2 linked regions of the Ovis aries genome follow. The protein of the gene in region 1 purifies or fractionates together with the protein of each later gene. This does not show direct contact. Links are inferred from orthologs where the notes say so. Each region holds a gene or a part of one and is shown on either strand. Other genes may lie near its edges.

Region 1 (3,814 bases):
GGGTGGATTCAACAGATGTTGAGGAATCCTAATAGACAAGACATGATGATTAACTGAATGTTGTTTTTCTGGTTTGAATACCTGGTAAATGCTGGTGTTTAAAATAGGGAAATGGAGAAAATAGCAGGGGGTTTTGTGTTGTGGGAGATCATGAGTTCAATTTGGGACATATTGAGTTGGTGCCCGAAAGGAAAAACTATTTCTTCTGTTTCTGTTTACATTCACACCAACACTCCCAGCCACCAAATGTAGGGGAATGGTTTTCCCACATCAAGCAATTCTCTCCTCAGCAGACACCAATTGGGTGCCCTACAAGTTGGTCAATTCTGACACTATATACCTGGAGGTAGCATCAGATCCCCAAAATTAAGGGCTCAGTCCCACAAAGCTGCCCCCATTACTACTTCAGATGCCACTCATAAGCAGGGGGTTGTCAGGTTACCCACAATTTATGTTGCAAATGAGGGGAGTTCCTGTGACCCCCTCTTTGGGTTCAATAGTTTGCTGCAGTGGCTGCCAGAACTCAAGGAAGCAGTTTATTTACTAGGTTACCTGTTTATTATAGAATGATACAACTCAGGAATAATCAAATGAAATAGAGGAAGGTATGTGGAGCTTCCATGCCCTCCCTGGGCACGTTAGCACCTCTGCCTGTTCACCAAGGAAGAAAGTGGCTGAACCTCGACACTTTGGGATTTTTATGGAGGCTTCATGCCTCCAAAGGCGTGATGATCAAATCATTGGTCATGAGTGATTAACTTCACCTTCAGCACCTCTCCCTTCACCGAAGTTGGTTGGGGTGGAGGCTCTAAGTTCCCACCTACTAATCATGTTCCTGTGGCAACCAGCTCCCCATCCTTAGGGGCTTTCCAAAAGTCACCTCAGTAACTGCAGTTCAGGTCTGATTGAAAGAGGTTTGCTTTGAATAACAAAAGACACTCCTTTCTCCTTTATCTCACTTATACTTAGGACATTTCAAGAGTTTTAGGAGCTCTGTGCCAGGAATGAGAAAACCAAAAATATGTTTCTTATTGTAAATTATAATATCACAATATCTGTTAGATATCTAAGTAAAATTACCACAGGTAGTAGGGCATGAAAGTTTGGGTACAGGAAAAAGTGGCTTTCTAAAATGTTTTAAGGGTTTAAGCAGAGGTTGATCAGGGGGAAAAGAACATAATCATTAAAACAAAGTCTCTTGTGCCGTGTCATTTATTAATCATTGAGAAATAGAATTAGTATATTGGCTGTTCATGTTTACTGTATGTTCTTCCTGTCAGCAAACTGAAAAGAGAATCCAGATCACAAGCAGAGTATCATTTGAACAAAAGAAATTAGAAAGGAAGTCGGATGGGCTCAATGGCTAGCATCTTTAAGATGATTTGTTGTGGTTATTTTCCTGGACTGCCTATAGAAGGTTGCTTCAGGAGTCATTTTGAGGAGATGGGCTCATTTCACTGTTGATTTTGCTTTCACTTTAAGTAGAATTCTAAGATACTGGCTATTGTAGTTAAATTCTAAATGTTTTACCCTTTTTGAAAAGGCATACAGTGATGAATGTTGTCAATAAAACAATTTATAAGATTCTTTTGTCATTATTTTTTGTGTCTAGAAGAAAATAGAGTAGATTTATTTAAATTTGCAGTTTCTTGACTTTGTTTAAAATTATTTTTTCTTTTTTTAAAGAAATGGCTGCAAGCAACTGACCTCACTAGAGAAGTATACCAGCATTTGGCCCACTATGTACCCAAAATCTACTGCAGGGGTCCCAACCCTTTTCCACAGAAAGAAGACATGTTGGCACACCAAGTTTTGTTGGGACCAATGGAATGGTACCTTTGTGGTGAAGATCCTGAGTTGGGATTTTCCAAACTTGAACAAACAAATAAACCTTCTCATCTTTGTGGTCGTGTTTTTAAAGTGGGAGAACCTACATACTCTTGCAGGTAAGATATTGCCATTTTCTTTCTTTCCTTCTTGTTTTCACTTGACTTATTTTTTTCTTGAAACCTTACATTTTAATTTTTAAATTATGAAATATTTTATATATGTATGTGTGTGTAAGTCTACACAACAAATATATTTGGTTTAATAACTTATTATAAACAAATGTTATTTTCCAGGTCAAGAAGTAGAGTATCACCAGGATTTCAGAAACCCATAGTGTGCTTTCTTCCTCCCCCACAGTTAACCCCTACCTTGACTCCTGTAATGATCGCTTTCCTGCTTTTCTTGATGGAGTGATTCTTTCTGATGTTCGAATTACCCCATGTTTGGCCTTTGAGTGCCCCATCACGCTAGCTTCTTGGTCCCTTTTCCCGTGCCTTTCATAGTCTTTGGGTGCTTCTTTGCTTTCTGGCACAAGATGTCCACACCTCACTTTGTACTTACTCTGACCCATATGTGCAATCAGTCACTTATGCAGGGAGTTTCCTTTTAGTTGGGAATGTTAGAAACTGTGGTCTGGGTGCTATATGTACTTACTGCTACTAGGCTGACTTTAAATTTCTTGTTGAGAATTGAGTGTACAAGGGTAGAAGATGGAGAGGAAAGTGCTCTGTTTCCCTTTAGGACGATCTCCTATTTCTCAGAACTAATCATTATTGACAAACTCTTATGTAGCCTTCCAGAAATTTTCTGTGCATATACATGCCCATATATGGGGCTATCTTAAACATATATATGCAGACATACGTAGAAAAGGGACTATGGTAGATATACTGGGCTAAGTTTTCCTTTCTCTACAAAATCTTGCCATTGATATCTGTCCATGTCAGCTCATATAGCTAGATAATGTTCCATGTGTGGATGCAGTATTGATTGTATAATATTTTTTCTTTTAGACTTTTTCCCATACAACTTAATTTTGGTTATAACTTCTGGGTGTCTGTGGCAATCTTTCTTTATGGTTAGAATACCAGTCAAGAGCTTTTTGTATATTGAAAGACTGTTAGATCTAGTTTTTTGTTTGTCTGTACAGAAACCTAAGTCCCTTATTGGTATTTGGAGCAGTAGATCTAGTTTAATCTCATGATTTACAGATGAGGAAACTGAGATCCAGTTGTTGCAATAACATCCTTTGTATCAAAAATATCCAGTTCCAAAACATGCATTTGTATGTCACGTCTTTCAGTCTTCAGTTTGGAATGTTGCATTGGTTTTTCTTTGGCTTTCATGATCTGGACACTTTTGACAAGCACAGGCCATTTATTTTGTAAATGCCTGTCAGTTTGGGTTTGTCTGTACCCTTCATGGTTATAGTCAGGTTGTCTCTTTCACAGAAATATTACAAAAATCACATGTTCTCAGTGTTCCAGTAGCATATGATTTTGGTTTGGTTCAAAAGCTCTTTAACTTTGATCACTTGATTAGGGGATTTCTGCAAGGTTTCTCTACTGTGGAGTTACTCTTTTTCCCTCTCTAATCACTAAATATTTGGTGGTGAGATACTTTGAGACTATTAAATATCCTGTTTCTTACCAAATATTCAGTTTTTTATTTGTATCAGTATGTATTCATGGAGTCCCATTATTCTGGTGGTCAAAATTGTCCTAGATTTGACCAGTGGGAGGCCCTTCAAGCAGTTTCCCTGGTGGCTCAGACGGTAAAGAATCTGCCTGCAATATGGGAGACCTGGATTCCATCCCTGGTTGGGAAGATCCCCTGGAGAAGGGAAAGGCTACCCACTCCACTATTCTTGCCTAGAGAATCCCCATGGACACAGGAGTCTGGCGGGCTGCAGTCCATGGGGTTGCAAACAGTCAGACACAACAGAGTGACTAAGCACACACACTCAGGCCCTTCAAGCTGTCTT
Region 2 (4,614 bases), on another chromosome or scaffold:
TTTAAAGAGTGAAAGAAAATAAAATCCAGTTCAGGAAAACCAAAGAAAGAGCATGAAGAAATAATGCTCTTATACAAATACGCCTACATGCAATACATACTATATGTAAAATATAAGACTGCACCTTGAAAGGCTCCATACAGTTATTTCACATTAAGCTGTCAAACATTTTTTATTTAAATTCTTACTATGGTGGAAGTTATCAATATTTTTGGTTCCTACTCTTTTTACAGTTCTAGTAGAATACATACTAAGCATTTGCTTGGCACATTTTGTACAAACTTATCATTCTCCTGTAGTCTCAAATGATATTTTTATCAAATAAAACCCACTGATTATAAAATCAAATTTTATGTGACTGCCAAAACTCTATCAGAATTTTTTTTAAATCTTACAGTTTCTGTAAGATCCCTCATCCCTAGGAAAGTTTCCCTTCCTAGCTGTTATACATTCAATTTTCTTAAAAGAATCACCATACCTACCATTTGTTATTTCTTTCAACTCACCCAAATATAACTGCATTCCACTGCATGATGTTGTTTTCTGATGGTGCGCCACTGACACCCACAGGTGGGTCCTCTTGCAATCTAGAAATCCAGAATAGAAATTTTAAAAGTTGAACATTAAGGCCACTAAGAAGGCCAGTCAAACATCTTTCAACCATCTACTTTGAGAAACAAACTAAATCCATTTTCTTGTTGTGCTGAGCTGGAATAAACCATACCACTTTAAATGGCTTGGGAGTCATCCCTCTTCAAATATCACCAAGGTTAAGATATCTGTTCAAGAACTACTTTTAACAATAACAACAAAGGAAAAACCTCAAGTGTAAAAAAACACTATTTACTCAACTATCAATTTTGCTACTGTAAACATGCAAAGGCTGTGTGAGTCCTAACCAAAGCTACTTGGGCAACATGGCCACCAAAAAAACTCTCCCCCAAACAAAATATAAAGACCCCACCTCAGTGTAAACATTAAATGACTGAAAAACACTTGCATCCAGTTTAATCAGGAAACTAGTTTTGGGCAGTAGAACTACTTTATTCCATTTGCGTTAGCAGCAGCTTTTAGAGTAAGCAAAGCTCTGGCTAGGTTTTCCCTCAGTCCCTATTTTAAAAGCTCTGCACCAATACTGCATTTTACCTCTCAGATCATGCGCCCATATACAGAGCTACCTTCCAACACCTGTTACAAACTCTTGCAAAAGACGACCCTTGGAAAACTACCGAAGGTGCCAAGCACACAACTCAGAATTAAGCAGAGAACTGCAATGAGAAACCAGGGTACCAAAGGCCAGGAACCTCGAAATTTTATTATTGGAATTTCACTCATGGGAGCTAATCTGAAATCTATGGTTTCAAGCTGTAGAAACAGAGTTTTGCACAAAAAGGAGTATCTCCTTTTAAAACTGTCATCTCAGGAAAAAAAGTAAACGCGACACTAAATATACACACACACACACACACACACACACACATAAACACACCGTCATGTGATATGATTCTTGGAATTAGTCCCCCAAAATGGCTTTTAGTCAACCTTAAGCAGTACAGGCCACGACGAAAAGAAGAACCCTTGGAAGATACGGGGCGTGATATCGCCCACCAAAGATAAAGGCTAAGTTACCAATACACTCAAGGCCAAACTGGGCAAAGCCCCAAACAATGGCTTCCAAGTGCCTCATTTAAAGGTTTACAATGAAGTTGAGAGGTTACTTCCTGATAAGCCAATCCAAGTTTTTACACTGGATTTTTTCTCTCGAGCAGGGCAGATCTCCCTAGAAAAACACTTATAAATGCGCACGGGAGCGTAACGCTAAGTTTTCTTGGTTATTTTCTTCTCCGTACCTGTAAGCATTCAAAGTAAAACAACTGGGGGGAAAAAAGTCACTTCCTCCTCATCAACCCTAATATCTAACAAAACCCTATTTTACAAAAGAGGCTCAGGGAGTATCAGCTTAGCCCCAGCCTCCAGAAAGGCATTTTTCCAGACCTTGGAGGCTATAGATAGGTCTTTACACACCAGGCCACAGAGCTGAGTTCCAGAAAGCACTGGCAGCCGGGTTTGCCAGCCCGAATCGCAGCCCTCTAAGCCAGTTCTCAAGGTCCTTTCAGGCGGGCGGGGAGGGATTGGGGGGGGAAGAGTCGGGTTTCGGAGGATGGGTTAACAACCTCCGGCCCTCGCGCATCAGACCCCACCCTCACTGCAGAAAGAATGGGGAGGGAGGCGGGGGTTGGCCCCAACCCTGGCAGTCGGAAAGGCGGCAAGGCCATCGAACAAAGCTGACTGGTGTAGCTAGCGGTGGAAAGGCTTCTGCAAGGGCTCGCTCTTAGGGCAGAGAGAAGAGGCACCGCAGGGTGCAGAGGCGAAGGATGAGATTTGAAAGCCAGGGCGAGGTATCAGGCAACTGGCCGCAGTGGGCAGCAGGGAATCGTAGGACAAACCATAGCCATCTTTTTACTTTTTTGTGGGGGTAGGGTGGTGGTGAGGAAGTATCAAAATTTCTTACGTAGGACAAGTGAACAACCAAGGAGAAGAGAGTGCTAAAGCGGGGCTGGAACTGGGCTTCCATCTGTCCCCCTGGGCCCACAGCAGCCCTCTTAGGGTCAAGAGGGGAAGGTGTCCCGGATCCCCACCCTAGCCCCGGAGCTTCGGGGAGGAGTCGTCATTCAGGCGAAAATGAAGGCCCTTACCTCTTGAAATCCCGCATAAGCCTCCTCCGGGCCGGGGTCGACATGCTCCCCAGCAGCCCCGCGGTCAGTCTGAAAGAAAAGAGTCCCGCGCAGCCCCCCCACCCCCCGGCGCGGCGGCCGAATCACTGTGGGTCACCGCCGCCGCTGCCGAGGTTGCACAAACAACCCTGCAATGACGTCTCCCTCCGCCGCCTCCAGATCCCTCCGCCCTCCGCCGGTACCATGCAGTGAGGGGTGGGGGAGAAGGGAACGGGACGTAGGAGAGCTAGTTACGGGGCCCCTTCACCAGGGACCTTATCCCTTTTGTCTCCTTGAACGAATTGACCAATTACTGTTCCTTATGCTCAGACTGGAGGTTGTGATAAAGAAGTACCGGAACTGAAACAACACCAACCCGTCTCCCCCTCTTTCACTAGTTTAGGCTCAGCCGGGTGGGGAGAGAGGGACGCATCCGGGGCCAGAGATTTCAGGGAAAGGAGGTAGGATGACGTAAGATCACGTGACTGCCGGCGGCGTTGTCAACAATCCACCTCCGAGGGGGAGGGGACGAAGTATCTAGAACCACGTGTCCCTATGACGCCATTAGGACGGATCACGTGAGAGCGTCTCCTGGATCTAACTTTCAGCCGTCTTTCAGCCCGGTAGTTAAATTTATGGGCTGAGGGCTGGTAGGCACTTTTATGTTTTTTCTCCATTTTGTCCTGTGGACAGCTATTGATGAGATTGTGTCGGAAGCAGTAGTTTGTTTTGCTTCTTAAATCTTTAAAATAGAGCCCCAAATAATTTGGATTTAAAACTCCCCTCTGGTTGGCTCAATGGCTTATCAAATCTGGCATCTGAGGAAAAGTGAAGGGACCTCCGTTTTCCTCAGCTGAATGCAGAGGCCCATACAAAGCGAAATCCCCTGAAATGCTTCCTTAGGGCCACCAAATATTACTGTATGAGCATTGCAGTGTGTTTCCAGGGTTGGCGATGCTGGGCAGAGATTAAAGAACGGTGTACAGATTGTTTAATGTTTGTTTACAATCCCCACAGGATTACGGAATTTTGTTTATCCTTTATGAGTCTGCTCTTATTTGAGGCTTTGTGTCAGAGTCCTTGGATTGGTCTACAGTGGGGTACCATTGTATTTGTCAAGAAATGTGCAGGTTTGATCATAGAGAGTGTGTATAAAGAGAGTGTAGGTGACTAGTTGCCAAACCTAAAAGTTTGACTCACATGTGGGGGAGAGATCATGCAGACGTGGATAGGGGTTGTATATCTAGCCTGAGTAATTTATTTCAGATTTTCAACACTAGTAAGTTAATAGCCTGAAACGTCCCCCACCGGGGCTCAGAGATACTGGCCGTTGGAATTCTGACATTATTTCTAGTCATTGAGTTTCCTTCCTCTATCGCCTCCAATTCTGTTCTTAAAGACTTTTTTTTTGGCTGAACCCTGAGCTCTTTAAGTCCATTTGGGTGATTCCTCAACCCAAGGTGTTACAGTAAGACAGAATGAGGAATATGGCGTTGGGCATACTTTCATTGAACTAGAAAGGGTTAGTTTCCCCTACTTTTCTGGTACCTCTCTTTCTTCAATCCCTGAATTCTTTCTCTTGCTTTTATTAAATGCCTTGGTAATCAAGTTAGCCAGATCTAATACTTGATAGATACCCACCGACAAATGTAATTCTCTAAGTCAAAAAGTTATTTTCTTATTTTCATTTTTTTGCCATAGCAATCCCTATAGCTAAGGATGGAGACATACTGTTAGGGTTACCTACAGTGAAATGCTAAAATTTTTTTTTAATCTGTCGTGTCATTTGTTTAGCAATTATAGTTGTTTTGGAAATCTACAGTTCATGGTTTTCCAGAATGAAGTAATGCTTTCGATCAAATCAAGTAAGTTTCATTAAAGTCCGAGAGCTTTATTGTAT

The links.
Region 2: the proteins of UBR2 (region 1) and UBE2B purify together in Homo sapiens (affinity purification with western blotting; 3 studies listed by BioGRID, with this or other methods). This does not show direct contact. The link is inferred for Ovis aries from reciprocal best matches to the Homo sapiens genes UBR2 and UBE2B.

Annotation. Positions count from the first base shown.
Region 1 is NC_056073.1:16,300,364-16,304,177, forward strand, and holds part of UBR2 (E3 ubiquitin-protein ligase UBR2), read left to right. Parts: intron 1-1,686; coding exon 1,687-1,946; intron 1,947-3,814. UniProt on the Homo sapiens protein: E3 ubiquitin-protein ligase which is a component of the N-end rule pathway.
Region 2 is NC_056058.1:43,581,025-43,585,638, reverse strand, and holds the start of UBE2B (ubiquitin-conjugating enzyme E2 B), read right to left. Parts: upstream 2,868-4,614; 5' UTR 2,741-2,867; coding exon 2,697-2,740; exon of another isoform or gene 588-2,696; coding exon 507-587; exon of another isoform or gene 1-506. UniProt on the Homo sapiens protein: E2 ubiquitin-conjugating enzyme that accepts ubiquitin from the ubiquitin-activating enzyme E1 and transfers it to a E3 ubiquitin-protein ligase. In vitro catalyzes 'Lys-11'-, as well as 'Lys-48'- and 'Lys-63'-linked polyubiquitination.